4 linked regions of the Pelodiscus sinensis genome follow. The protein of the gene in region 4 purifies or fractionates together with the protein of the main gene of each other region. This does not show direct contact. Links are inferred from orthologs where the notes say so. Each region holds a gene or a part of one and is shown on either strand. Other genes may lie near its edges. The genes, in order: ARID1A, FAM120A, SMARCA1 and EZH2.

Region 1 (7,177 bases), on a different chromosome or scaffold from region 4:
TCAAAGAAATCCTTTATACCAATGGGAAAGTCACATAACCAAAACAAACAGCAAGCCCATTGTACAGAGAACCCCTGCTACTCTTCCGACAACACAGAATCTATTCCAGGCTGTATAAAACATTACAAGCAAAATAAATCCAAGGTACAAACAAAATGCCATCGCCTCTTCTTTTGTTTCATGCACAATGCAACAAGGGCAGCCTGTCTGGAACTCTGCTCCTGCTGATACAGTATTGCTACTGAACTTCCTCAAGGTCACAGCCAATTTCAGCTGTGGAATAAAAAGGCAGATAGTGGCAGTGATGGTTTGGGTTATGGCTGGCAGAAAAGCAGAGTGTAAAAGTTTATGAGCTCATCAGGATTGTTGTACCATTACATCAGAGGCAATTATAAATGGCCAAGAGCAGGAGATGAGGAGCCAATCAGATCACAGATAGGATGTCAACCTAAGACCAACTGTCTCCTGGCTTTGACAGAAGGATTTTACCTCCATAATTCAAATCCCAAACCAAAGCAATCTGCACTTACTACTCCAATCGCTGAACTGTTTACCAGCACTTCCAGGGAGAGGCCCAGCCACTGGGCTAGCCAAGAGACTGCTCAGGAAAATGGCCACAGCTTGCCTGGGCAAGCTACAACTGCCCAAAGCAGGCCACTTCCCACCTTCCTACCCCCAGGAAGTGAAAAGGCCCCTCACTAGGAGCAAGAAGAGGAGAAGGAGGAAGAGTGTAATGGGGGCAAATGTGTAAGTGCTGCTCTGCAGAGTTCCCACTACCTCTGTTCCTCGCACCCCATCCCCAGCCCAGCCCCGAGGAGCTCAGCTACCCACCTTCCCCTCATGCACACAAGCACCACAGCGCCAAGCCCTTCCTCCACCCCAGGGCTCCCTCTATCTCCCCTCAAGAGCCCCCAAGGCAGGCAGGGGAAGTAGGAAGCTGAAGGCACCTCTCTAGAAGCCTCACACAAAGGCTGGAAGGGGAGGAAGAGTAGGCAGAGAGGCAGCCATTTTAGAGAGAGAGACAGAGACAGACAATGGCAGCTCCCCAGCAATGTGGGTCCAAGTAGGGGAGGGAACAGTAAGAAATTCGGCCATCTCGTGACCCCCTCCATATCCCCACGTGCCCTCATCCCTGCCCTTGAGGAGGCCCCTCTTCTACCCTTGCCCCCATTGTCCTCAGCCACCCCACGTGCGCCCATCCCCTACTCCTAACCCCATTCCCTATCCCCACCCGCATCCCTCCCGTGCCAAGCTCTCACCTGCTGGGTCCTAGCGAGCGGCTGTCCCCCTCCAGCGCTGCTGCTCCCGGGGCTCATGGGCGCGTGGTGGCTCCTTTGTTGCCCCCCTCCTGTGGCCGTAGCCCAGGCCTGGCTGTTGCCCCCGCCGTACTGGGAGGCCATATCCGCGGCCGGGCCTTTGGAGGCGGCTCCTCCGTCCTGGGGCCCGCTGCTGTAGTCGCCCCCGGGGTAGCCCTGGTAGCCACGGGCTGAGCTGGGGGAAGTGAGCAGCTGGTTGAGGGTGGGAGTCGCTGTGGGCTGCGGGGTGGCGCCCCCTCCTCCTGCTGCCCCGCCGGCGGCCGAGGGCCCCATGGCCCCGAAGCGCTGCTGCTGGAAGGCGGCGGCGGCGGGGGATTTGGCCCCGGCGGCCGCTTGCGCGGGGCTCTGCGCGCTGCCCCGGGGGGAGCTCAGGGCGTAGGCCTGAGGGGGAGGCGGGTAGGCGCCGGCGCTGCGCCCGGCTGCCGCCGGGTAGTAGGAGTTGTACTGGTGGTTGGGGAAGCCGTGCTCAGCACCGCCGTGCGAGTTCTGGGGAGGGGGCGGCCCCGAGGGGGCCCCCGCCGGTCCCGGGTAGGGCTGCTCCAGGCCCCCGCTCTGCAGCGCTGCCATGCCAGGGCTTTGTTGTCCGCCATGTTGGTGGAAGGCAGCCGCGGCGGCGGCAGCGGCGGCAACAACCTGGGCTCCCCGGCCGTAGGGCTGCCCGAAGCTGTAGGCTGGCGGGGGCAAGGCGGCCGGGTGCGAAGGGGGAGGCTGCTGCGGCGGCGGCTGCTGCTGCGGCGCCCCCACCCCGTCGCTGCTGCCGCCGCCGCCGCCACCGGGCGGCTCCGGGAGGTTATTGTTCAGGGTGGCGGCGGCAGCGGCGGGCCTGGGGCCCGGATTCCCGTTCGAGCTCTTCAGGTCTGGCTCGGCCCCGGCGTCCCCTCCGTTGCTCTCGGCCCCGTCCTGCAGCTCCTTTCCCGGGGGGCCCTCGCTCTCCGCCTGCTTCTCTCCGCCGCCGCCGCGCTCCGCCGCCGCCTCGCCCCCCGCCTCCTCCGGGGGACAATCCCGCTGATGCGCCTCCGCTTTCTTCAGCTCGGCGGGAGCCGGGGCGCCCAGGCTGCTGGTGGTGGCGGGGGCGACCTGCGCAGCCATGATCCCCCCCTCCCCACCCCCCGGACTCCTGCCCCCGAGCTGCTCCCCTGCCTGGCCGGCCGGCGGGAGGCCTCACTGCTCTGCTGCTCCCCGCTCAGGCGGCGGCGGGCTCTTCAGGGCAGCGGGGGTTCATTCCCCCCGGCCTGGCTGGCGAGGCGGGGAGGGCTCCGCTGGGCTGGGCTCCCCGGGGCCTGGCCCCGCTGTGCCTCCTCGGTTGCAGCCGGCGGAGAAAGGGGAGGAGGGAGCGGGGAGGGGGGGGAGGAGGCGGGGGGACCCGGGACGGGGCTCCCGGCGTGGGAGAGGAGGGAGGGAAGGGGACTCGGCGGGCGAGCGGACTCCGTCCCTGGAGCCGGGCTGTGCGGTAGGGTGGCCGGACTAGGCAAGCCGAGTAGCAGCTCCCGACTCTGGTCCGCCGAGTCCTGCTCACTCCGACACGAGGCTCAGCACTGCCATTTTACCCAGCTTCGCGGCGGCCTGCCAAACCTGGAGCGGAGCCCGGCTCGGACTGGAGCCTCCCCCCTTCACAAAGGAGGAGCAGGCAGGCCTCGGACGCTTGCAACTCAGCAAACCTGAGGCCGCTGCCGCACACAAAACCCGCAGTGGATCCCGCGGAGCTGAATCCAACCTTCCGCCACAAAAGGAAGCTCCCTTACTGCGAAACACGGAGCGGATTTCAGCCTGAGCGAAGCGGACTGCCACAGAGTCCTCCTCCAGAAAACACGCACCAAAGCGCTCCCCACGCAGCTCTACTGCCCGGCGCCCAAAAAGATGACTTCAACGACCAGAGGCTAGTGTTCATCTGGGCTAAAGGAGAACAAACAGAACTGCATTAACCAAAGGGCTGGGAACTAGGACTCCTGAGTTCTGGACTAACTGCAGAAGTCAGGAAAGCTGGGTTTTCTCCCAAAACTGGGATATTATGCTGGCCACAGGACCAGGCATGGATCTGAGTGCCTGGAGTACAAGGACATGCAGGCTGGGTTAGTCCAGGGGCCCATTCCATCCAGCATCCTGTCTGCTAATACTAGATGCTTTAGCGGAATTTACAAAAACTCTAAATGGAAAATTATGAAATAAGCTGCCCTGAGGGAAGTGTCTTCCTTAGCCTCTCAGGGTATGGGCCACAAAGGTTTGGAAAAGGATTCTAGCTACCAGTCAGTATCATGCACTGCAAGTTTCATAGAAGGATATGGAACAGAGCCTATTACTTAGGATGTCTAATGTGATCCAATTTTAAGTGACTCTACTTTTGGGGGAAATTTTTACACTGCATTGTTTGCTACAGGCCTGTGAAGTTCAACCAGAAGAAAGACCCTTGGGCTAGATAAAAGCCTTTTCTTCGTCCCAGGATTTTCCATTGATTTAACTGTTCTAAACTGTTAAAAATTTCCATTTCCTGTCTGTTGCTTGTGTTCCTTTGGAAAATGTTGGCAGTATGCCAAAATACTAACTGAACATAAACATGCTGAAGTCAGGGGCTTACACTATTGCCAAAGCTGCAGGCACTGCCCTGGGAGCTGGGAGGGGACAGGGAAAGATAGAGCAAGCCACGCCCCTTCCCTCCTCCCCCATTACATACCCTTCAGACCAATCATATGTCCTACCTCATTTTCATCATTTTCTATGAGAGCATCACCCAAAGCAGGACTCTCCCACCTCAGGCTCCTCTCATAACTACACCAGATCCATACGGGGCAGAGCAGCATATGTTCCCTATTCCAGAGGACCACATGGGGCAAATATCTTTCTCCTGATAGTGAGACAAGAAAGAGAGCCAAGTCAGGCCATCCCTGTGGATACAGCATATTGCTCCAGCAGGCCATCAGCAGAGTTAGTCTTGTAACTAAAGTGATGCAAGTAAGGCCCCGCCCCCCTTACAAAAACCCAGGAGTCTTGCAAAAATATATTAAAAGAAAGTTAATTATACTGCAAAGTCAAGCAGTTGGAAGTTAGGAAATGTCACAGTTGGATTTGCTCATTCAACCTGAATTCTGCCCCCTTGCAATATATACATTGATATATTCCAATTATACAGTATGTTCACAATATTTTTTTCCACAGGATTCTTATCTTATTCAGATAACAGTTTGGATAAACATGGAGCTGCATTAAGGTTGCATGGATTATTGTAAATCTGATACTTCCTATCTTTCAAGCGCTTGACTTTACAACCTAAAAAACTTTTTGATAAAAGTTTTGTGTCTGTAATACATATATAATTATGTAAGTTTCTTCTTGGTAATCAGATTTTTAAAGAGTGCACAAGTTATACAATTTTGTTTCACAATCCTATCCATCAGCACCCTTTGTCTTTATATGATCTACTTTATAACCTGCCCCCATTGATGATTAACTGGAGTAGAACAGGCTTTTGTATTGGAAACCCCATCTCTTTGAAGCACCATGTACACCTACAACAAATGCAGAAATAGGTAACAGATCACTCCCCAACGCTGTTTCTCCCATATGTGAAATGAGATTACTACTAAATCTGTCCAACATCTCTGTGAGAAAAATGTTCACAAAATACTTGCAAGATCCTTTAATGTAAGGATCTCAACAATGAAAAATATCATTGCTAACAAGTCTCGCATTACATTAGTACCTGCAACACTATTTTTCAGTTTGGATCTTGATTCCATGCATTGGGCTTGGAGAGGGCATAAAGCAGTGGTTCCCAACCTTTTGGGGCTGCCAGGAGTCCGGGGACAGGGCCGCGCTCGTGCCACGTGCCTAAGGGCGGGGCTGTGCAGGCGCCACATGCCCAGGGTTGGGGCTGCGCATGCACCGCGCATCTGGGGGAGGGCTGCGCACGTACCGCATGTCCAGCACTGTGCGCCCGGGGCAGGGGCCACGCATGCATCGTGTGCCCGGAGCCCGGGCCGTAAGAATGGCTTGGGCTGGCTTTGGTCACTCAGTGGGCGCACATAAATGCCCCGGCAGACGCCATGCAGGCACCATGTTGCGGACCACTGGCATAAAGTATAGCAGGTGTACTTCATTGTCCTAACAGTGTAGTTAGTTATGAAGGACAGAGACAGCACTGAATTTTTTACCTCTCCTGTAACTTTTCTTTCATTATGTGAATGTTGCAGCTGCTATTTTCTGATATAATCAAGTTCTATAACCCAATCACCATTCTCACAGTACATTAGGAAGAAGGGTTTGGTTTTGGTTTTTGTTTTTTGTAAAAGGGAAGTTTTACAAGAGATATAGAACTGCTACACAGAAACACTACCATAAGAAAACATACTTCTAGGGGGAAGGTAAAGATACAGTCTTTCAATTCCAGAACATCATTTCAAACCAAAGGGCAGTAGTTCCCAGTAAAGATGATCAGCTGTTACATTCTTAAAGCATATATGAAATGGATTGGTGGTCTCACCCATTTCTTAACTATAGTCCACGTCACAAAAAGCATTATCACAGCATCTTTGATGGCAGTCAAAGAGGCCAAGCATAGGACAGTAAGTAGGGCAGCACCAGAAACACTAAATGGTCACTGTTAATACTGTGTATGCTTTACAATAAACAGAAAATGTCAGTGTCTGATGCAATCAATTAACCAATACATTTCAATACAAAAATTAGAATATAACAGGTGTTAAAAAACAGAAGTGACTTCAGAGTAGTAAGCTGGGGTTGAAGTTAGCACAAGTCAATGATTAGCTAAATTCAGAATGTATTCCACAGTAACAAATGGCATTACAGGCTCCAAAACCAAGGCCATGTTGCCATTTTACAGCAGAATGTATAACAGAGTAGATTCCACCTTAGCCAATTGGCCTAAAGAAAGAGGGGATTCTTTTCTTCTCCTCCTCTACTATTTTACTTAGGGTTGCAATGGAATAATACATAATAATAGCTACAGTATTTTTAATAGTATTAGTATTTATTTTGTAATAGCCACCCAAAAGCTGCTCTTAGGATTGGTGCCACAAAAACATATAGGAAGACACAATTCTTACTAAAAAATGTATAGTCTAGTCTAAAACAAAAATTATATGATAGTATAAAGCCAGAAAATGGATTGGAATCTCCTTCACAAGATGCACTTTACCAACTGCCACGCAATTCTAAAACAATTTCAGAGGGCTTCATTTGGGTTGGATTCCAAAAATCACCAATATTTTCTTTTTACCCATTTGTAAGTCTATCACAAAACTTTTCCTCTAGCAGAGGAGGGTTGGGCATGGCATGTCTTTATATGCTTGCCCTATGAGAACATCACTATTAAAGTGTATGAAAAAAATAAAGGAAATGAACAGAAACCAAGCTAGATTCTCACACAAAGGTGGCCCTGTGGCTTTACCAAGTTCTATGGTGGGCTGTAAAATCCAAAGAAGATTAAAGAGCAACAAAACGACAGGATACCCTTTTCAAGGATACTTCCCCCACTTTAAATTTTAACAAATTTTAAACCGCTGCACATCAAGCACAAATAAACTGGAACAAGCACTACCATTTTATCCTGAGTAGAAACCAAATTAGAGTGTGCCTCATGAAATTAAACTTTGCCATCTCATTGGACCCCTTTAGAAGCTATCAAATACAGTCCAGGAGCCTACATTTCAGTGTAAAGCAGTGATACTCAGACTGAGGCTTGTGAGCAGCAAGCGGCTCTTTAATGTGCCAAAGGGATGATACTTGGTCCTGCTGTGAGGGCAGGGGACTGAACTCGATGACTTCTCAAGGTCCCTTCCAGTTCTATGAGATGGTATATCTCCATATATAATTATAATTATATTATATTATATTAAGGTGTCTTCTCC
Region 2 (7,671 bases), on a different chromosome or scaffold from region 4:
AAAGAAATGATATAACAGAATAATGAAAAATGGGAAACAAAAGAATCTATTCACAGAACTCTTATCCCATTTGATGGGGTACTGATGTAGACAGGAAGGCTTGGCAGATTTTCCTTGAGAAGGGACAAAATGTTTGGGGCAATTTAAAGAGACAGTTACAGAGGCCTGAAGAAAGTACAAAGAGCAGCAGGCCTAATCCCCGCACTCAGGAGAGAAATGGGGAAGAAAAGTTAAAGGTAGCCAGATAAAGCATGTGAGCTATGCCCCCTTCCTCACCCATACTACAGACACTCTGCACAAACTACACATTCACCCTCTTCTTCAAGAGTGTCTTTAACAAAGAAATCAATGATAACATTTATATCAAACCTTCAGCCCTGAATTGGCTGCTCATAGAGACCTCCCTCACCACAGTTCAATTCATTCCTTCCAGAAAACCACTCCCAATCCTCTTGATATTCAGCTTGAATAATGAGTCACTGACGTTAATGAGTCACTTTTAACCTTTACCCAGCCAGACCCATCCTGTTAATGGGGTAACATTGCCAGTCTGTACAAACCAGTTATGAAATAACTGTCTATAATGAGATTTCTTGCATCTTCCTTTGAAGCATCTTGACCCACTGATCTGATCTTGTATGGCCATTCCTCTTTCTGCCTCAACCTAATTGCTTAAATTGTAGGCCAGGGAACGTGGCCCCACTTTATCCTTGGTGGTGAAGACAGGGGCAAAGAAATCATTTAGCTTCAATGACTTCTCCTTAATTGCTGCCTTAACTCTCTTGCACTCCAGGTTTCCCAGCCCTGGTCTACTCTAGGGAGTTATTTCAAAATAACAAGCCGAAAGTCCACACTACCAATCCCATTATTTGAAATAAGGGGCTGGTTATTTTGAAATAATAATTCATGCTTTCCTTGAGAAATAAGCTTATTTCAAAATAGTTATTTGGGGAATTATATCTAATTTTGTTATTTCAAAATAATTTCCTAATGTAAACATGCCCCCGCTGATTATCTCATAGGCTGTTTCTGAAATATTGTATTTGTTTTTGTATTTTTGGCTATTTGCTCTCATATAAATTTCAGTCTTCCTAATTGCCATCTTAATTGTGCCCACCATAATTTATGCTGCTGTTCTATTGGCTTCACTTGACCCAGATTTCCAATTTCTGCACAAATATCTGTTTGGCCTGAATAATGCCCTCACATCAGGCTCAGTCCTGTTCTCTCATTCAAAATCCACCTGAAACCATTGGTGGACCTTGTGAGAGAAATAGCTTGAATCTCCAGCAATGTGCAAATAGCAGCTTGCTCTACATAGGCTATATTGCACATTTAAAGACCACCATTTCCAAATCAGCACCCAGATCTCCTGAAATCCCCTCCTTTTCAGTTCTCAGTTTCACATTATTCTTACTCCTACTCAACTTCCTAACTTCATTCTGGGAGAGCTGCTTTTAAACAGTTTCTCTTTTTTTTTAGAATACACAGTGAATTCATTTTGGTTCATGGTTTTTGTGTATTTATTTTTTAAAATGGTATGTTGGGGCAAAACCAAATGGCTATAAAATGGCCCTCAACATATTTAGGCTAGAAATCAGATGAAGGTTTTACACCATCAGAGGAATGAAGTTCTGGAACAGCCTTCCAAGGAGAGTACCAAGAGCAAAAAAACCCCTTATATTTCAAGACAGAGGTTGGTAAGTTTTTGGAGGGGATGGTATGATGAGCTTGCCTACAATGGCATATGGCCCATCTGCATCTGCTCTTAGCAAATATCTTCATTGCCAGGAGATGGGGCTCTAGATGGGGAAGTCTCTGAGTTACTACAGGGAATTATTTCCCAAGTATGGATGATGGATCTCAGTGTCTAATTGATCATATATCGGGACAGGAAGGAATTTTCTCCTAGTCAGATTGACTTTGCTTCTTCTCCTTCTTCTGCAGTGTGGGTCATTTGGTGATTTGAGTGTATTGTAAATGGTGTATTCTCTGTAATGTGAAATCTTTAAAACAAGATTTGAGGACTTACAGTATCTCAGTCACATGTTATTGGCCTATCACAGGAGTGGATGTGTGAGGTTCCATGGCCTGCAATGTATAGGTCATCAGACTAGATTATTATGATTGCCCCCCTCCATGGTCTATGACATTGGCATTGAGATAGTTATGTAATGTTCAGCAGGGTTTCAGTGGTACAGCCATTAGTACTACAATAGGCTATTTTGAGTCAATCATCCTTAGTTACATATTAAGAAAGAATTACAGCTGATAGCATCCAGTGTGTCTTTTGGCTGTTTTGACCTCTCAGTACTGTTCTATACAAAGAAGATATAGAAATCTTACTCTGCTGGAGTTAAGCCACATATGGAATAGTTCTAAACTGTGGCAGGATTGAGCAGGATACAGCGTGGCAGATCCTCAGCCAGGAAATACATTGAAGTCAATGGAACTATGCAATTTACACCAGCTAAAGATCTGTCCCAGTGACTTCCTTCCTCCCCCTTTTGCAAATTGGTTGCGTTGAATCCTTAAATTGTTCAGAATATTGATGGAACACACCCACTTCTTCACCAGGCTTTAATTGGTTTCTGGCCTGAGATTGGATTGATTTGTAATCTTTCCATTAGAATGTGATCTAGATCAAACTCTGTGCTCCCCTTTGCAGGCTCTCTGACCATCTGTTTTTTTTAATGCTCTGCATCCCTGGCATTAATCATTCAAGCTCTGCTGAATCTTTAGATACTTAAAAAAACAATCCCACAAAAAATAAAAAACAAACCCTGAAATCCTCTCTCTCCTCTGTCAAATCCCCAATTAATTGCAATGTTTATTTATAATAATAATTTGTATTACAGTAACTATTTAAAGGTGTTTCTGCTGAAGCATCCTTAATGTTATAACAAAATTAGTGATTGTACTTTGGAAGGAGAATCCATTTAAGCCTTAGGATGAAAGCTAAATTAAGAAAAAGCTCTTACTAAATGCTCATGAACACCTTTGGAGAGTTATCTGAAAAGGTGCTGCATATTTTCCACACTGATTTAAAAAAACCCACTTTTTTCCAGGAAACATTTTTATTGAGGACTTTCACAAAGTTTTCTGTATACTTTATTCTACCATCTTCATAAGCTCCACTGGTCACTCTTAGATACAAAGGTCCTCCACGCAGTGTTAAATAAGCTTTGCTCAACCCCAAGAGTATTTATTTTAGATACTAATCTAGCCAAACAACTGAAATCTTATTAAAAATGAAACGTATCTTTACCAGTAAAATGCCAAACTTCATATAAGGCATCTGAATATTTGAGAGTTGCCAAGCATTGAGGAATACTGAGACACTATGTTGATATTTCAAAGATAATATATATGTTCTGCCAGGAAATAGCTAAGGCCAAATGTGGGATTCTTTACAAAATTTCACTAGCTGAAACCAGAGTGAACAAGTCATCCACCATAATACTTAAGGCATTTTAGAAGAGGATAACAGATCTTATTCTGGCAGTTCATATGCCACTGACTGCATGTTGCCATGTCTTTAAATTCATGTCCTGCTCAGTAGCCAGTTGTGCTTGACAAATTTGTGGCCTACATGAAGAGTTAATTTTAACATATGCTCCTGAACAAGCTTCCACATTTTGGAAGATTTTCTGGAAGTGTTAAATCTTTAGCTGTAGGTGAGGTGAGGTTCATTTCTCAATATTGAGTTTCTTTTTAAATAACTATTATTATATTTGTCTGGAGAGAGGAAACTTTAAATCATTCAAATTTGTGCCAGTTTTATATTGTTGGGTTTGGACATCACATAAGTGTGAGGGAACAGTGTGAAACAGTATGGCTTGATAGCATCTCAACAAATTTGTGTTTTGTAGGCGGAAACCTCCTAAGCCAGCGAAATCCAAGCAAGAGGGAAGGATGGTCCATCTTCTCAAAGTATTTTGAAGATTTGTTTTCCTTCCATTTGAGCTCTCAAGTTCAAAAAAAACTGAGCAGTTTTTATTTTACTTTAAATAAAGGTGAAAAAATAGCACTTCTAAAATATAGAATAACGTGCCTGTTATTTTATCAGATGCCACATCCCCCACTCTTAATGCTTGAGGTCTGTGCTTTCCAAACTGTGGGCCACAGACCTCTGGGAGTTTGCACACTAGGTTTAACATTTCCAAAGGGGGATGCAGGGATTTACAAATGAAAACCACTGCTACAGGGAGTGTGTAGATAGCTGTACTCTCTATTCCGGGTCTGGCACAAAGCCAAGCTAGGTTTCTATGCAGTGAAAGGCCAATTTGCAGTGGCCAGGTGAAGAGCAAGTCGTGCTCTCGCCATACCCCGGGCCTGAAATCCGAGCTCGGGGCCCCGCAGCGCGCGGAGACGCTCAGTGGGAGCCCACGCAGCTCGGGCCGAGCTCGCCGCTGCCATTGGCTGCTCCGCGTGCAGCTCGCTGCGCTTCCCGCGCGGCCCGTGTGCAGCGTGACGGGGCCGGCGCGGCGCTGTTCTGGGCGCGTGCACACGTGCCGGGCGCGCAGCTCTGGCTCCTCCGGCGCTGAAGCCGCGCGGCCTGACCTCCCTGCCGCGCGCCCGCCATTCCCGCGCCCCCCCCCCCACGTGTCCCGATTCGCCCCCGCCCCGCAGCGCAGCGCGCATGCCTGGGTTATGCAACAGCCCCGGCGCCCAGGCCCGCCGCCCGAGTGCCGCAGCCGGGTGCCGAGTCGGTGGCGGAGGCGCGCGCGCGGCCCGGCCCCCCGGTGCTGCCCTGAGCCAGCGTGTGCGCGGCGCGCCGGCCCGTGAGTGGCAGCGGGGGCCGCCGCCAAGTCCCGCCTGTTCCGCTCTCCCGGCGGCGGGCGGCTTCCTGCGCGCGGTGCCCCCCCCCGGCAGTAGGAGCCGCAGCGGAGCAGCCCGGAGCCGAGCCATGGCTCTGTGAGAGCAGCACATGGCGGCCGCAGCTGCCATGAGCCCCCAACCGACCCACACGACTCCCCCCTGAACGGCCGCCTCCGCAGCAGCGCCCCCGCCGCCCCCCCGCCTCCAGCCACAGCCCTCGCCCGGCCCGCCATGGGGGTGCAGGGGTTCCAGGACTACATCGAGAAGCACTGCCCCAGCGCCGTGGTGCCCGTGGAGCTGCAGAAGCTGGCCCGGGGCAGCCTCGTGGGCGGGGGCCGCCAGCGGCCCCCCCAGACCCCGCTGCGCCTCCTCATCGACGCCGACAACTGCTTGCACCGGCTCTACGGCGGCTTCTACACGGACTGGGTGAGCGGCGGCCAGTGGAACCACATGCTGGGGTACCTGGCGGCGCTGGCCAAGGCCTGCTTCAACGGCAACATCGAGCTCTTCGTGCTCTTCAACGGCGCCCTGGAGAAGGCCCGGCTGCACGAGTGGGTGAAGCGCCAGGGCAACGAGCGCCAGACGGCGCAGCAGATCGTCAGCCACGTTCAGAACAAGGGGACCCCGCCGCCCAAGGTCTGGTTCCTGCCGCCCGTCTGCATGGCGCACTGCATCCGCCTGGCCCTCATCCGCTTTCACATCAAGGTGAGCCGCGGGCCCAGGGCCTTCCCGCCTGCGGCCTCCGCCTGCCGCGCTCCTCGGCCCCCAGCGCCCCCGCGCCCCTCGGCCCCCATCGCCACCAGCGCCCCCGCCCGCGCGCCCCCCGGCCCCCAGCGCCCCCGCCCGCGCGCCCCCCGGCCCCCAGCGCCCACGCCCGCGCGCCCCCCGGCCCCCAGCGCCCCCGCGCCCCTCGACCCCCATCGCCACCAGCGCCCCCGCCCGCGCGCCCCCCGGCCCCCAGCGCCCCCGCTCGCCGCGCCCCTCGGCCCCCAGCGCCCCCGCTCGCCGCGCCCCTCGGCCCCCAGCGCCCCCGCTCGCCGCGCCCCTCGGCCCCCATCGCCACAAGTCAGCTCTTCCTATCCTCGCGTTTCTCACCCCCCCATTTTGACCCTGGCAGCGGCGCCCATTTCCAGGGAGGCGCCCGCTCCTGTTGCTGCGCTCCTGGGCCCCCATTTCCAGGGAGGCGCCCGCTCCTGTTGCTGCGCTCCTGGGGCCCCATCTCCACCAGGGCGCCAGCTCCTGTTGCTGCGCTCCTGGGCCCCCATTTCCAGGGGGGGCAGCTCCTGTTGCTGCGCTCCTGGGTCCCCATTTCCAGGGAGGCGCCCGCTCCTGTTGCTGCGCTCCTGGGCCCCCATCTCCACCAGGGCGCCAGCTCCTGTTGCTGCGCTCCTGGGGCCCCATTTCCAGGGAGGCGCCCGCTCCTGTTGCTGCGCTCCTGGGCCCCCATCTCCACCAGGGCGCCAGCTCCTGTTGCTGCGCTCCTGGGGCCCCATTTCCAGGGAGGCGCCAGCTCCTGTTGCTGCGCTCCTGGGGCCCCATTTCCAGGGGGGTCAGCTCCTGTTGCTGCGCTCCTGGGGCCCCATTTCCAGGGGGGTCAGCTCCTGTTGCTGCGCTCCTGGGGCCCCATTTCCAGGGGGGCCAGCTCCTGTTGCTGCGCTCCTGGGGCCCCCATCTCCACCAGGGCGCCAGCGCCCCCGCTTGCTGCGCTTCTGGAACCCCCCTTTTCCACCATGGCACCAGTGCCCCCTCCTGCCGCTTTTTCCAGTCCCGCTGGCCAATTCCGAGCGCTGCGGCCTGGAGAGGCGGCGGTGGCGCTGGGCAGGGTAGGGCTCTAAAATGGCAGCAGGATTGCCCTCCCGGTAATGTCCGTACCGACTTCAGAGAGGGGAGGGGGGAAGTATGAATTCCCATATCCGCAAAATGTCGTCAAAACCTGGCGGTGTCGGCTGCTCGGGCTGGGAGAGGAGGTTCGGCGAGCTCCATGGGAGCGGCCTTACTGCTGGCCAGCGGCAGCTGCACAAGTGGAGGAGGCCAAAGTTTATGCTGCTGCCGCTGCCTTCCCGCGGACCCCGAGGCTGGAGCAAAACGAAGTGTTGCTGCCTCCTGGGACTTGCAGGGTGCCCTAAGCAGGCAGAGGGGAGGGTGTAGTGCGTACCTTGGTGTCCTCAGTCTCCGCTGGGATTTTCTATTTATACATACCTGTCAGCCTGTGGAAGCAAAATAATGGTAGAGCCCCTCCCCAGTTGAACTGGCCAAATGGGCTTACAGGCAGGAAAATGACAATTTCAGCATGCCTTCAAAAAGGGGTATAAAAACCTTAATGGTTTCAAAAACAGGACTAGCTATGTTGCTTTCTCAGGTTTTCCTTTTACATGTTCTCCACTTCTTTCAGTGCATTTTATTTATCCTTCTCATCTTTATTTATTCACCGTTTATTGTCAGATTTTTCTATCCTTATTTCTCCTTTCTGTTGTAGTTTATACGCTTTCATTTGTATTTCTCTTCTCCACTCCTCTTTTCCCGCTTCCCTTCATGTCCCCTCAGAGTAGAAACCAGAGAGAGCCACATTTGAGGGGTGAGCAGGGCTGATGATAGTGTTATGTAGGGTCACAGTGAATATCCAGGTATCATCCTCCAAATGCTGATTGGCAGACAATCTTATTTTTATGTAAAGTTGAGTAGGGGTTTTTTTTTTTTTTTTTTTTTTTTTTTTTGCTTTAAAACTGTGTGTAGTGTTCTATACTAGATACTCTGCCTCCATGTTCTTTTGGGGGCCATTGTTCCATTCATTTATCTGACTTATAAAATGTCCCTTGCTGCCTGCAGTTCCCTCTTCTTAGAAACACACTT
Region 3 (6,876 bases), on a different chromosome or scaffold from region 4:
AGGTGGTGCTCTTGCGCCTGGGGTGTCTCAGCTCCCAGAAGCCCTTAGAAAAGAATAACCAGTGCCAGTAACCAATAAGCATTAGCTTATGGGTTAACCAATTAAACTCATTCATTCCTAGTCAATAGAGCAGTGGTTCTCAACCTGCCACATAAGTCATCCTCAGGGCCATTCAGATAGCATATTTATTGTGTGGATGTAGCCCAGATAACAAAGAACTGCATATGCAGCCCACAATGATAAATAGGTAGAGTACCACTACCTTAGAGAATATATTCAAAGTCTGTGTAGTTAAGTATTCCGTATCATGGAGGAGTCTCCAAATATGTCACAACTTTAACAGTGCAACTTGCGTAACCCCAGGGATCTAATTAACAAAGATGCTAGCTTTAGGCTATGGGAAAGCATTCTAGGCTAGTGGGAAAGTGCAACAGTACATTCTAAACTAAGCCAAATGCCTAACCAAGTCATGGGGAGGTATAAGAAATACTGCTGCTTTTGTTGTTTTTTTATTTTGCCTTTCCTATGCTGAATGTTTGCAGGTACATATGTAAAAACTATCCACCTAGTTGCCATGTGGTAGAGTTTATATATAAGAAAAAAAAATCTATTCCAGGTGACTATTGAAAATTAGATGAAGTTAATAAAAGCATTGAAATTGCTATTTACAACAACGCATTAACGTGACACAAAGTATAACCAGCATAATGACAAAGTATACTAACCCAGTCTGTCATTACCTAAGACTTCCAGACACTAACATGTTGCTTATGCATCTGAATTGCAATCCAGCTCTGGGGGCACTTTGCTGAAGTCAAATCTATAGGAGGTGTAGCTTTGCATTTCTCAGCTATTCATGATTCCAAATGAACTAGTGCTATACAGCAGCAACAAGCTTTGTTTTGTTAGAAACATGTGACCTTCTTACACATAATCAAGACTAATACAATATTTAATCTCTCAGTAGCATATATCAACTTCTACTATTCCATCTAAACATTGTGTCAGGGATTTTTTTGCCAGTTGACAGATGGAAAACTTCATAGCACAAATTGTACCCTGTAGTGTAGGTAATCCTTGCTCACACTTCTAACACCTTTAGGCTACGTCTACACTGGCCCCTTTTCCGGAAGGGGCATGTAAATTTCACTAGTCGTCGTAGTGAATAAGACCCTCCGGAAAAGGGCACTTTTTCCGGAGGATCGGGGCCAGTCTAGACGCTCTTTTCCGGCTTTTTTAAAAGCCGGAAAAAAGCGGCGGACATTTTTATTTAAATGCCGCGGGGGATATTTAAATCCCCCGCGGATTTCCCTACGACGACTAGTGAAATTTACATGCCCCTTCCGGAAAAGGGGCCAGTGTAGACGTAGCCTTATTGTTCCTTAGTTTTAATGTTCCAGATACATACTACACAGTTCACAGCCAACTAATTACTACTACGACATGTTTTTTTACTTCTCTCTACTAGGGTTGTAAGCAACTAATCAACTAGTCCTGTCCCCCACTTTGCTGCCTCTATCAGAGAGAGGCAGCACAGGGAGAAGCAAGACCTGGTGCTGGGAGAGAGCCAGCTTAAAAGCCAGTTCCCCCCAGCACTGTCTCTGTGGGGGGCAGGGGAGGTAGAGGCACAGCGGGATACAGCGCAAGTGGGGACTGAAGCAGTCTCTGCTCACACCAGTTCTGCTGTGATTCTGCTTTTGAAATGTACAAGAGCCCCGCGCTCCCTGTGGGGCTTCCACTTTTGAACTGTAGCAGAGTCCGACTATGTAGATGTGCACTCAGAGTCCTGGCTTGCTATCTCTGCAGAAAACTGAAGGGAAGAGGTAAGAGTCACACATGCTCTTTGGAGCTGCTTGATGTGGATTATGAAAGCAATTTAAACTGCATGTGCAGAAGAAAGTAGCTTTGAGTGAAAGGAATAACAGAAGAACCTGAGAGCCAAGAACCAGCCAACAGCCACTGGCAAGCCACTCCCTACTCCTTTGAGTCAGCTACATTGAACGGTCGGTCAATGGGGGGACGGACTGAAGTATCATACCCTTCCCACTCATCTTCAAAAGTGTATCCCAATAGCTCAAACTTCCCCACATTCCTTCCTCCATCTCATCCAGAAAGTAACTGTTTACAAAGGCTTCACTAAATGGCTCTGCATATAGGTAACCTGTTCCCAGCTAGGTAAGGTGAGCAAAGTCCTTTTTCCAGGCTATAAAATGAGACTGGTGGTACCCATGGGGAGGGCTGACAGACAGGGAGAGGCTGTAGAGATGCACACTGCACAGGGGGATATAGAGGGGCTGGCACACTGTGTGGAGGGGTAACAGATGGGTTGGGTGCAAGGGCAGGGACGTGATTGGCAGGGTAAGCAAACAGGGTGGAGATATGAATGGACAGTAGGGAGTGGAGCAGGGATGGGACTGAAGGCACAAAGGGGGCAGAGGCTGGGTCACAGGGCTGACGGTATGGAGGCTGGATAGGGCTGCTGGGCCTGCTGGCAATATGGGGAGGAGTGGGGGAGTGTAAATGGATGGGCTGAGGGCACCGCAAGACAGGACAGGCTGGGCCAGCGCGGTCAGGTGGTAGCTGGGCCAGGGGCACGGGGAGTGCGGATGGGGCCGAGGGACGCAGAGCGGGGCACAGCCAGGATGGCGGTACAGGTGGGCGCAGACTAACCCACGTCTCCGCACAGATCTAGGTCTGAGAGTTGGGAGGGTGACGGAGGGGCCTGGGGACTGTAGCCGCAGGGGGGGGGGGGGCAGGGACCTGCGGCCGGCCGGGTCCTGGGACGGGGCTGGCAGAGGAGCCGGGCGCCCCCATCCCCAGACTCTGGCGCGCGCCCGCCCCCCAGGCGGTACCTCCTCGTCGCTGGGCTCCCGCGAGGAGGCAGCGGAGGTGGAGGGCTCCTCGCCGTCGGAGCGGGCGGGGCTGGGGTCCATCTTGTGTCGACAACCGGCTCAGGGGCTGAAGACCCCCCGCCCCTCCACCGCCCCCCCGAACACCAGGCGGCCCCGCCCCCTTCTCCCGCTCACAGCCAAGATCGCGAGACTTCAGGGGCAGGCGCCGCCGAGAGCGGCGGACAGCCCGGGAACCCGGCCATCCGTGCGCGCGCATGCGCTGTAGAGTTGAGCGCGCGCGCGCGCAGGGACGCCTGCTCATCCCCGCTGGGTGAGCGGGAGCGTTGGCGCGAGGGACAAACCTAGCAAGAAGCCGAGGGGTGGGGGAAGGACCTGTTTGCCCCTCCCCCCTCCAGGTCACAAACCCAGCGGGACAGAACCGAGGCCAGGGCAAGAAGCTGAGGGCGGGAGGAGCCGTTGCTGAGAAGGGGGCGGGGCACAGAACTGTTTTCTCCCCCCGCCCGCCTCGTTACGTTGAGACGTTCACGCGGGAGCTGGGCTTTGGCGGGTGTCAGGTCCTGCCCTGTGCCCCGCAGTGTGGGTCACGCTGTGAGCCTCAGCGCGCCACGCTAGACAGGGGCTAGTGTTTCATTTCAGCCTCGCTGCATGCATCTTGCTTCAAAGAGACGTGAACACCCCATCACAGAGGGAAACTGCAGAACTTTCTTTCATGCTTAAATTGGGCACTTTACGAATGGGCCTTAACAAAGACTCCAATTACCTTAACCATTACAAAAAGAGCTTCCCCACTTATCACCCCTGGGTAGCCATTCATTGGCTCGTAAATAGCTATTCCTTCCCTCCCTCTCCCTCACCCCACCTCCTGTACTAAATCTGATTTGTCAGTTTAATAATGTTCACTTTTTTCATTGTGTTCCTTTGGTATATATGGTCATGACAATTCTCTTCCAGAATATGAGCTGAGGAAGTGGGTCTGGCCCATGAAAGCTCATCACCTATTAAACTATCTTATTAGTCTTTAAAGTGCTACCATAGCTGTGCCCAGGCACACCCTAGTGTCTCAAAAAAAGTAGCTTAGTGTTTTAATTTAATCCCATGATATGCTCTTTTAGTGTTAAAGTATAGATTGTTGTATTATGCAATAAGCTCCGAATGTAGAAATGTATAGAAAGCCCCTGTTCGCCCGCAGTATGTCCTTTATGACTGAGTATTCAGTTAATGTTCTCCTTTAAAAAAAATAAAAAATAAAATTCCCTGGTGCACACCCTAATGAAATGTGCTGCACACGCCTATGAGTGCTACATAGTTTTTCCTTTTGTTTTAGTGAGAACAAGGAGACTTCCGTGTGCACACAGAGGAGCCAGGAAGAAGACAAGAACACAAGATGGTTTGGGATTGTTGGGAAAGGACAGAAGCAACCTAGAGAGAGAAGGGCATGTAGCCTTTGGAGCATATTCCTGGGCCTACAGAATTTGAATTAGAACCATGGACTCCTTAGTCTCTATATTCATTTGCTATCAACATGTATCCATGAAGCCCACTGGCAAAGTGGTAAACTTATCACCTTCTAGTTCTTGATCCATATTCTTAGCCAATTACTGTCACCGCTTACTCAAGTAGTAGAGATTGTGTTGTGAGTTATGTTGATAACCTCAGCTGAGTATTGGTGCCACAGAATGGAATTTCTGTGTGTGTGTGTGTGTGTGTGTGTGTGTTTATTTATGTATTTATTTATTTATTTATTTATTTTTAGGACATAACATTAAAAAACTTAAACTAAAGTAATGCTCAGGTTGCATAGTTAAGCACTCAGACTTGTAGCCTGCAGATCTATATTATCCCTTTTATTATATTTTGTTAGTAATGCAAGACTTGCAGGAATTTTATCCTGTATGAAGTTGGCTTTAGCAGTAGTGTAGTGTGGTGTAGTAAGAATTGGTTAATATCTTTTTAGAAATTAAATTGAATATCCTTAATATCTCTTTAGAAATTGTAAAGGGCTTTTTGGCGAAATTTTCAGCTGGGTCAGAACACAGGGAACGGGTCCAAGAGGGACATAGAGTGATCATATTCATGTATACAGGCAGTCCCCAAGTTACGCGGATCCGACTTATGTCGGATCCGCACTTACGAACGGGGCTTTCTCGCCCCGGAGCTCGCAGGCAGCGGGACCGCCCAGAGCGCAGCAGTCCCGCCACCTCGACCTCCGGGGCGAGAAAAGCTGCTCCAGGTGCCCCTGGTCTGCTGGGGACCGTCTCCAGCAGACCAGGGACACCGGGAGCAAAGCCGGGGAGGCGGAGGGGTCCTGCGCCTCTGAGGCTTTGCTCTGGCAAAGGCTCAGAGGCGCGAGACTCCGCCGCCGCTGCGGCTTTGCTCCCGGTGTCCCTGGTCTGCTGGAGACAGTCCCCAGCAGACCAGAGGCACTGGGAGCAAAGCAGCAGCGGCGGCGGAGTCCCGCGCCGCCACTGCAGCTTTGCTCCCCGTGTCCCTGGTCTACTGGGGGGGGGGGGGGCGCAGCTAGTGGCCCCCCCAGCAGACCAGGGAGACGTGGAGCAAAGCCCCGGGCCTGTGGTAGAGCAGGTGGGGCGCTGCCGGTTGGTCCCGCAACACCGCTCCTTGGCGCTACTGGACCAACCCGGCAGCACCCCAGCTGCTCTGCCCCAGGCGTCCCCAAGTCAGCCGCTGCTGAAACTGACCAGTGGCTGACTACAGGAAGCTCCTGCCCCGGGCTTCCTGGAATCAGCCACTGATCAGTTTCAGCAGCAGCTGACTTGGGGATGCCTGGGGTTCTTAAGTTGAATCTGTATGTAAGTCAGAACTGGTGTCCAGATTCAGCCGCTGTTGAAACGGATCAGTTTCAGCAGCGGCTGAATCTGGACGCCAGTTCCGACTTACATACAGATTCAACTTAAGAACAAACCTACAGTCCCTATCTTGTACGTAACCCGGGGACTGCCTGTATTCAAAAGATGTCCCAATATCACCATCCAATCAAGTATGTGTACCCACAAAATCTCAGGATGCGGAAATCTGTTTATGGCCATAAGAGATTGGGTATTAATGATGGAAAGAGGCCCATAAAATGCTATGGCAGTAGTTGGGAGACAGGAAAAAGCTTCAAGTATTTTTCTCCTTCACATCAAAGCGCTTCACTTCACTTTACTTATTTTTTCTAAGTTTCTCTGCTTCTAAGTTTTCCATACTTTCCAAGTCCCAGCAGCAGAGGGAGGCTGGCCCTTCCAACGCGTTGGAGAGGGTATGTGAGTATGGCATTATACTAGGTAACTATTTCTGTATGCTTATAAGTATAATTATATAACCAAACTTTGTTAATGCTACCCTCGAGGGTGATTGAATTTATCTTTGCAATCAGTGCTGTGTACTTTGTATTGTTTGACATCTTAATACCAGTCACAATAAAAATTGTTTTAATTTGGTACTATCCTCATTGTAATCGTGGCTGCTGTTGTGGCCCCCCAGATCTACCTCCAGAAATAGAGCTTTATAGCCCTCAACCTTTGTGACTTGGGAAAGAAAGACAAACCTGGAACCTTCTAGTCAGATGGGCAAGCCATATCCATATAAATTATATCTTTCTTCACCCCTAGGCTACAGATCTTAGGACGTGATAGAATTAAAGTTGCCTGTGGACTTAAATTGCAGCGAGGGAAGTTTAAATAGGACATTAGGAAAAACTTCCTGCCAGGGTGGTTAAGCACTGGAATAAATTGCCTAGGGAGATTATGGAATCTCCATCATTGGAGATTTTTAAGAGCAGGTTAGACAAATGCCTGCGAGAGACGGTGTACATGGCACTTGATTCTGCCATGAGTACAGGGGACTGAACTTGATGATCTCTTGAGGTTCCCTCCAGTTCTGTGATTCCATTTTTGGCCACAGAATCACATAGGAATTCATGTTTAACTGATTATTCACTATAATCAACCCTTTCCCTCCAAGTCTTTTTAAGTGTCACTGCTTCTGACAATAGAAATTCCTATCCTATAAGTATAGCTTCCAGTCT
Region 4 (7,067 bases):
TGTACTCCAAATGCAACAGTAAGGGCCTTTAAATCCCATATATATGCTGATTATATGTAATGATTACTATATTTCAGTCCTCTGTTTCTTATTGAAGAGAACTATTTTCTATTGTCAACATTGCTAACTAAATTCCACTTGAAGTCTTCAGTAGTTCCAATGAGAAGCAGAAAAGAAAACAACTTAACCTTCAAATTCCCAGCTTCAATTTACAGGACTAAGTTAAAGATATATATAAAAATAACAGCTCATTTGATTTGCCTGTCAGTGACAAAGAGTTCCACAAAGTCACTTTTTGAAGCAGTTATCTTTTAATATCCCTGTGACAAACCCAAATCCTGCAGATTGCGGTCAACCTAAACTAGTGACTATTGAATATGGCATAGTTTTAAGACAAAATAATTGTTGACACCTCATGGGAAGCTTTAAAAAAATGTTTATGTAGACACTTCCACCACTGCCTTTCAATAACTAGGTACATTTTCATGAAAACAAGAGGTGTCTCCTAAGAATTTGTCTCATCGTTTAAAGATAACCCTTTATTTAATGTCTCAAACATCTTCAAAACAGCTAAGCAACAGAGGATTGTCTCTTTAGGTGAGTGAATAAAAAGTACATAGAATTAAAAAGTTAACATATTCTCTAATATCCTATTCACATGCAAGATTCCACACTAAAATAATAAAGAAAACAAAACCAAATAAGAGTGCTATATTGCAGGATTGCTCATGAGGTATCAACAGGTCTTGAATATTCACATTTTAAGAGACCAAATTGAAAGTACTTACAGTACAGTGCTTACAAGTACTCACCCTTCACAACATGCTTTCTGGTTACCACAAATAAACATTCCAGGGGCTCCCAATTTGATATGGACACTTAGAATAAACAGAAAGAGTGGCCTTTTAATTAACTCTTACAAATTGCATTCAGACTCTAGAGCATTACTCTCTAAAACTAGATAACGAAATCCCAGGTTAGAAATTCAATAGAATCCCCAATACATACTTCTGATCCCTTTACATTTGTATCCTGGTGTAAACCTATACAACTCCATTCAGTGGAATAGCACAAAAGGTGAATTTTGCAAACACAAATCTAAAAATGAAGTCTTTCAAGGTCTTCATTTCTGAGAGGGAAAAGAAAAGAAATCTGAACTCCCAACTTTCTAATGCTGTATGGTTTCCACTCCAGAACAATGTGGATAGTATTTCAGAACTAGAAAAGAAGCTACTTGAACAAAATCCAAATTAATTTACATAAACACACCTACAAGCTTCTTTTCTTCTTCTCACTCCCAATAACTTCTGAATCACCTGCAGGCAACTATTAAACATTGAACACTACAATAATACCAGATTACACATCAGTCTTACTGCATCATATTTACCAGCCACTCGTTGACTCTTACAGTGTGAATAAATAGGCAGCTTCCTCCAACACCACCCCCTTACACCTACCAAAAATGACTCAATAAAAAACATATTTTTTGAAGTGTGCTCATGTTCAATACACTTTGTTCTAGAATCACAGTCTTCAGCCTATCTGAACTTGGGAAAAGCCAGGCAATGCTGTGGAAGACAGGGACCCAGTACTGAACTTTAGAAATTCGGAAGTTCACTCGAGTTGCTTTCAGGTACGTTTGTCAGTAACACGCCCCCACTGCCTTTGCATTTAACACCTTTGCTGCTACACCCAAGATTTGCGTATACATAGAGAAGGGGAATGTAAGGGGAGACTCAAAACAGCAACTCGTATGAAACAGCAAAAGGAGGAACAACCCAGAGACAGCTCAACAGCCCCCGCACGGAACATCAGCTTCCGGGAGACTATGTAAGAACACATGAGACTGAAGCAGACCTGCCCAAGTGCCTAAACGTCTCCCCGCAGCAAGGAGCCCCCCGCCCCGCGTGGGGAGCGTAATTTCAATTTTTCCCGCCTCCTTCTCGGGGAACGAAGGGTTTTGCTGCGCGTTTCAATCAGGCGTTTTAAAACCTCGTTTGCCTTGTAACCGGGGGAAGGGAGGGAGGGGGGGAGGGGGTTCCCCACAGTCAAACTGCTCCTGCACCCGCCACTAGTCTGAAGTCAATCAATGGGGAGTGAGGGGACTGGGTTTAAGGAAGAGACAAGCTGCGCTCCTCCTCGCGCCCGCCCTCGTTAGGGGTCCCAAGCCCTCGGCTCTAGTCCCGTCTTTGTCTCAGTCGGGTCGGTCCAGGGGAGGGGATCCCCTCCGCCGGGGTGGGCAGAGCCAACTTAGACAAAGGGCGCTTCACGCTCCGTGTCTCTCTCCAGCTGTCACCGGCCGGCAGCGCGCGCCCCGCCACCGCCCGCTCCCCCGCGCGCCCCACCGCCCTCTCCCGCTGGGGGGGGGGAGTTTCCTCGCGGCTGCCCCCCCCCATTCAATCCCCCAATAATCCCCCCGCCACCTCCCCCCGGACAAAGGGCGCAGGTTAGAAATAGCCGTTCCCGCGCGCTCGCTCGCTCACCCCCGCTCCCCAACGCCCGCCGGTGCTGCTGCCGCTGCCGCCGCCGCCTCCGGGTCCCCGCTTCGCTCTGCCGCCGGATTCACCCTCCCGGACCGAGCGCCAAACCCGGCGGCCCAATCGGCATCACGCTCATTGGAGAGAACCAAGCACCGCCCCGATTGGACGGACGTGGAGGGGCCGCCTGAGCCAATCCGCCTCGGCCAGAGGCGGTGCCGGGGGCGGAGCGTTCGCGCCCCACGTGTGGGGGGGAGGAAAGAAGAAGGGGGTGGAAGGGCGCTCTTTGTTCTCGCGCTGGCTGGGGACCTGGCGAGTTCCGTGCTCCCCTCGCGCGCCCCTCAGCCCCCCCCCCCCCTGGGGCGCCCGTAGCGGCGCGCGCGGGCAATGGGGGGAGCCTTGAAGTCCCCGTCGGCTGCGGGCGGCGAAGTCTTTGGGGGTTGGTGGAAGAGGAAGCGCCCGCGGAGCCCGGGAAGGGAGGGGCCAGGCTGTTGGGCGCTGCTGAGTTTGAATCAGTTCGAAAGTGGGAGCGGTAACGGTTTTAACTGTCATGCGGCTCCAGCGCGCGCGGGCAGCTCTGGGCGGAGACTAAGGTTCAGCCGGCTCCACTCAATATCCCTCCCCTTTGCCTGTTGCTTCCCGCGGGCGGGCGGGCTGGCAAGCGGTCCGGACCTTGACCCGCTCCGCCCTGCCTCGTTCCCAGCCCCGCCCCCAGCCTTAGCTTCGCCGAACGAGTTCCCAAACCGGCTCTGCTAAACCGGTTGTAGCGCCGCCCGGGACCTGCCACCTTCCCCACGCAGCTTGCGTCAGTAACTGCATCGCTGCCCTGACTCCCGGGGCACGGAAATTGCCAGGCGGATCAGAAACGTGCCCGGCGTGGAGGGGCCCTTCTCCCTCCCCACCATGCGTGCTCTGTGCTTCGCCTCCGCCATACAGAGAACTGCCCCCTCTCTGGCTTCAGGGTCCGTCCACATCCCTTTCCTCTGCTGCGGGCTAGGCGTGTGGAACCGCAGCCCTAACACAGCCCACCCACTCCTCTCGTACAACCACGGAAATCAGAGCACCAGCAAGATGTGCTCTGTCTCACCGGTCAATCGTGTCTTTTAGGTCTATCTCCTTCATGCTATTGCCGACCCATAGTCAAGTTGCTATTGTCCCTACCAGATTTTTAATCTGGCCGTCTGATTTAATTTGCCATCTCTATAGTCTCACATCTAGGCTGTGAGAATCTAGAGAGGGCAGGTTAAGGCTGATGACCAGATTATTGATCACCAGTTTATTGATGACCAAATTATTTAAATCTAGCTGATTTTTTTTTTCTGCATCATATCTGCAAGATAAGACCTTTAGTTTCAATCCATCCTGACATGCTCTTTGGAGAAGGGTCTGGTCCATGATTATCATAAACTCTATGATAATTTTAAAAAAGTCTAGGTTCCCATCAACTTCTGTCTCAATTACTGCAACATCTTGTCTCTGGCTTTGACAAATACAATCTTGCCCCATTACTGAGTGAAGATTATTTTCCTAAATAGGCACTTTGCCACTGCCAGCCCTGCCTTTTTTTGTGTCCCTCTACTATAATCCAGTGGTGGGCATATGTGTGGCCTATGGGGTAAGCCACTAGCAGGCTGCCAAAAAGGCTGGTTAACCTTGCACCCCCAGATATTACCATCCAGAGCTCTCATTGGCTACAGCTCCTCTTTTGTCATTGCAACAAACTTAAGCTTCTTGATTTCATTTTGTAGGCCTTTCATAACTAAGATGAACAGATGTCCCATTTTCAAAGAGACAGTCCTCTAAAAGCCCCCTTGAAGGTGTTCCTACTTTTTCTTTAAAATTGGCAAATTGTCCCATATTTTCAGTTTCTCCCCTCCCATCAGTACTAGTTGGTCTTACTGCTGATCAGATACTTGCTCGTCAGCTGCCCATCTGCCAACAATGAGTAGTTTTTTAAACTTTTTGAGCTGAGCCCCCCACCTCATTGAGTTATAAGTTTGGGCTCCCCCATTATTTGCAAAAAACAAACAAACCCTAGAATGTTCAGGTACCTCGTCATTTTCCTTTAAAGAAGGACATTAATAAACTGGACAAGGTTCAGAGGAGAGATGAGAATGATTAACGGATCAGAAAACATGACTTAAAATGATTGCTATCCTTGAATCTATCTGTGTAGTTTAACAAAGAGAAGAGTAAGGGGTGACTTGGTTACAATCTATAAATAGCTACACAGGGAACAACAAATATTTGATAATGGGCTATTCAAATGAGTAGAGAATGGTATAACATGATCCAAGGGCTGGACGTTAAAGCTAGACAAATTCATACTAGAAATTTTTAACAGTGAAGGTAATTAACCATTAGAACAATTTACCAAGGCTCTTGGTAGATTCTGTATCACTGGCAATTTTAAAACCAAGATTGAATGTTTCTCTAAAAGATGGTAAGTATGCTCCAGGAATTATTTTGGGAAAGTTCTATGGCCTGGACACCTGCGGCCTTGCAATCTGTGAAACTAGAAATCCTTTTTTAACACCCTCCTTTAAGATATAATAAATAGAATTAGGTAGTTGGTATGCTGATATCACAGCCAGTCATATTAACCAGCACTGTCTCATTGTTTTCTTGTGTTCCATTGTTTGTTTATCTCAGTGGTCACCAACTTGGAGATCGGGATCTACCTGTAGATCTTGGAGCCTCTGACATGTGACCCTGACTGGTTTGGCCAAGAGGCTATCAAGTGCTGGCACTTCAGCTGCTCCTCCCCTCACTGCTGCTCATCTCCTGCCCTTTGCCTTAGAGCTGCCTCTCCCCCTGGGGAGCCTCCTGCTTTCTGTGCAGAGAAGGGGTGCAGATGTCAAGCTACCCCCTGCCAATCTGTATCCTTTCTCCACAAAGCAGAGAGGGGGCACAACAGGACTTGGAATGCAGTTTGTTGGCTGCTTTAGGGAGTAGGCCAGGGCAAGGGTGAGCCTGCTTTAGCCCCACTGCACCATGAACCAGGAGCCACCTGAGGTAAGCAGTGCTCAGCTGGAGCCCACATCCCGAAACCCTATCCCAGTCATGAATCTCCTACACCCCAAGCTCCTGCCCCAGCCCCGAGCACTCCTGCATCCAAACATCCTCTGAGAGTGAGGTGTCATTTTCTAGGATAGGCTGTAGACTGTTGATGCTGTGTTGGAAGGGTTTAAGTTGAGGACTGTAGGTGATAAGTGGAATGCTGTTGTTTTCTCTTCTGGGCCTGTCTTGAAGTAGTTCATGTCTGGGTACTTTTTTGGCTCTGTTGATCTGTTTTTTTCACTTCACCAGTTGGGTATGTCAGTTTTAAGAATGCTGTATATAGATCCTCTAGGTGTTTGTCTCTGTCTGTGGGATTGGAGGGCTTGGCTGTATACGGTTGTATCGGAGGGCTTGGCTGTATACAATACATGGATGAGTAGAGGCATGAAGGTAAGTGTAGCGGTCAGTAGGTTTCCGATATAGGGTGGTGGAAATTTGTCCATCATTTAATAGTACTGTTGTGTCAAGGAACTGCATTTCTTGTGTGGACTGATCCAGGCTAAGGTTGATAGTGGGATGGAAGCTGTTGAAATCTCTGTGAAATTCTTCAAGGGTTTCTTTCCCATGGGTCCATATGATGAAGATGTTATCAATGTAGCATAAGTAGAGTAAGGGTCTTGGGGGGGCAAGAGCAAAGGAAATGTTCAAGGTCAGCCATAAAGACATTGGCATATTGTGGTGCCATCGGGTGCCCATGTTTGTACCTCTGACTTGAAGATACAAATTGTCTCCAAACTGGAAGTAGTTGTGGGTGAGGACAAAATTGCAGAGCTCTGTAACCAGGTGTGCAATGTTGCAATCAGGGAATATAGCCTATAATCCATCTTCATGTGGAATGTTGGTGTAAAGAGCTTCTATGTCCATGGTGGCCAGGATGGTATTTTCAGGTAGATGACTGATGTTTTGTAGTTTCCTCAGGAAGTCAGTGGTGTCTCAAAGATAGCTAGGAAGTGCTGGTAGCACAGGGTCTGTTGTAAGTGTACCAATGCTTAAGATGATGGGTCGTCTGGGATTTCCAGGCTTGTGTATCTTGGGTAGCAGATAGAAGACTCTTGGTCAGGGATTGGGGGGGTTGTTAGTATAAATTTGGTCATAAGGGAGTCTCATGAGCAGCTGTTTCAGGTTTTTTTGGAATTCTTTAGTGAGACACAGGAGAGAGGCTTGTAGAATTTGGTGCTGATGAGTTGTCTGGTCACCTCCTGTTCAGTTCATGATGACTACAGGGCCCCCTTTGTCAGCCTCTTTGATTATGATGTTAGAATTATTTTTGAGGTTGTGTATAGCATTGCTTTCTGCATGGCTGTGGTTATATGTTGTTTGCTGACAATGTCAGCTCAAGCACGTTTGCGAAAGCAGTCAGTGTAGAAATCAAGATTATCGTTGTGACCATTAGTAAGGGTCCACATAGAAGCCTTCCTCAATCCACTAAGAAACTTGTTACATGCAGACTCTTTCCCTAACAGTTGTTTTCTTATCTCAGGTAAAATGTGCAAGCCAGAATTGATCTTTACTCTGGCCTAGGACTAC

What was found.
Region 1: the proteins of EZH2 (region 4) and ARID1A purify together in Homo sapiens (affinity purification with mass spectrometry; 3 studies listed by BioGRID, with this or other methods). This does not show direct contact. The link is inferred for Pelodiscus sinensis from reciprocal best matches to the Homo sapiens genes EZH2 and ARID1A.
Region 2: the proteins of EZH2 (region 4) and FAM120A purify together in Homo sapiens (affinity purification with mass spectrometry, with the first as the bait; 3 studies listed by BioGRID). This does not show direct contact. The link is inferred for Pelodiscus sinensis from reciprocal best matches to the Homo sapiens genes EZH2 and FAM120A.
Region 3: the proteins of EZH2 (region 4) and SMARCA1 purify together in Homo sapiens (affinity purification with mass spectrometry, with the first as the bait; 3 studies listed by BioGRID). This does not show direct contact. The link is inferred for Pelodiscus sinensis from reciprocal best matches to the Homo sapiens genes EZH2 and SMARCA1.

What each region holds. Positions count from the first base shown.
Region 1 is NC_134735.1:2,199,075-2,206,251, reverse strand, and holds the start of ARID1A (AT-rich interactive domain-containing protein 1A), read right to left. Parts: upstream 3,001-7,177; 5' UTR 2,406-3,000; coding exon 1,260-2,405; intron 1-1,259. UniProt on the Homo sapiens protein: Involved in transcriptional activation and repression of select genes by chromatin remodeling (alteration of DNA-nucleosome topology).
Region 2 is NC_134721.1:50,965,595-50,973,265, reverse strand, and holds the start of FAM120A (constitutive coactivator of PPAR-gamma-like protein 1), read left to right. Parts: upstream 1-4,658; 5' UTR 4,659-5,052; coding exon 5,053-5,526; intron 5,527-7,671. UniProt on the Homo sapiens protein: Component of the oxidative stress-induced survival signaling. May regulate the activation of SRC family protein kinases. May act as a scaffolding protein enabling SRC family protein kinases to phosphorylate and activate PI3-kinase.
Region 3 is NC_134723.1:29,595,741-29,602,616, reverse strand, and holds the start of SMARCA1 (SWI/SNF-related matrix-associated actin-dependent regulator of chromatin subfamily A member 1), read right to left. Parts: upstream 3,013-6,876; 5' UTR 2,934-3,012; coding exon 2,853-2,933; intron 1-2,852.
Region 4 is NC_134712.1:160,850,135-160,857,201, reverse strand, and holds the start of EZH2 (histone-lysine N-methyltransferase EZH2), read right to left. Parts: upstream 3,024-7,067; 5' UTR 2,487-3,023; intron 879-2,486; 5' UTR 851-878; coding exon 813-850; intron 1-812. UniProt on the Homo sapiens protein: Polycomb group (PcG) protein. Catalytic subunit of the PRC2/EED-EZH2 complex, which methylates 'Lys-9' (H3K9me) and 'Lys-27' (H3K27me) of histone H3, leading to transcriptional repression of the affected target gene.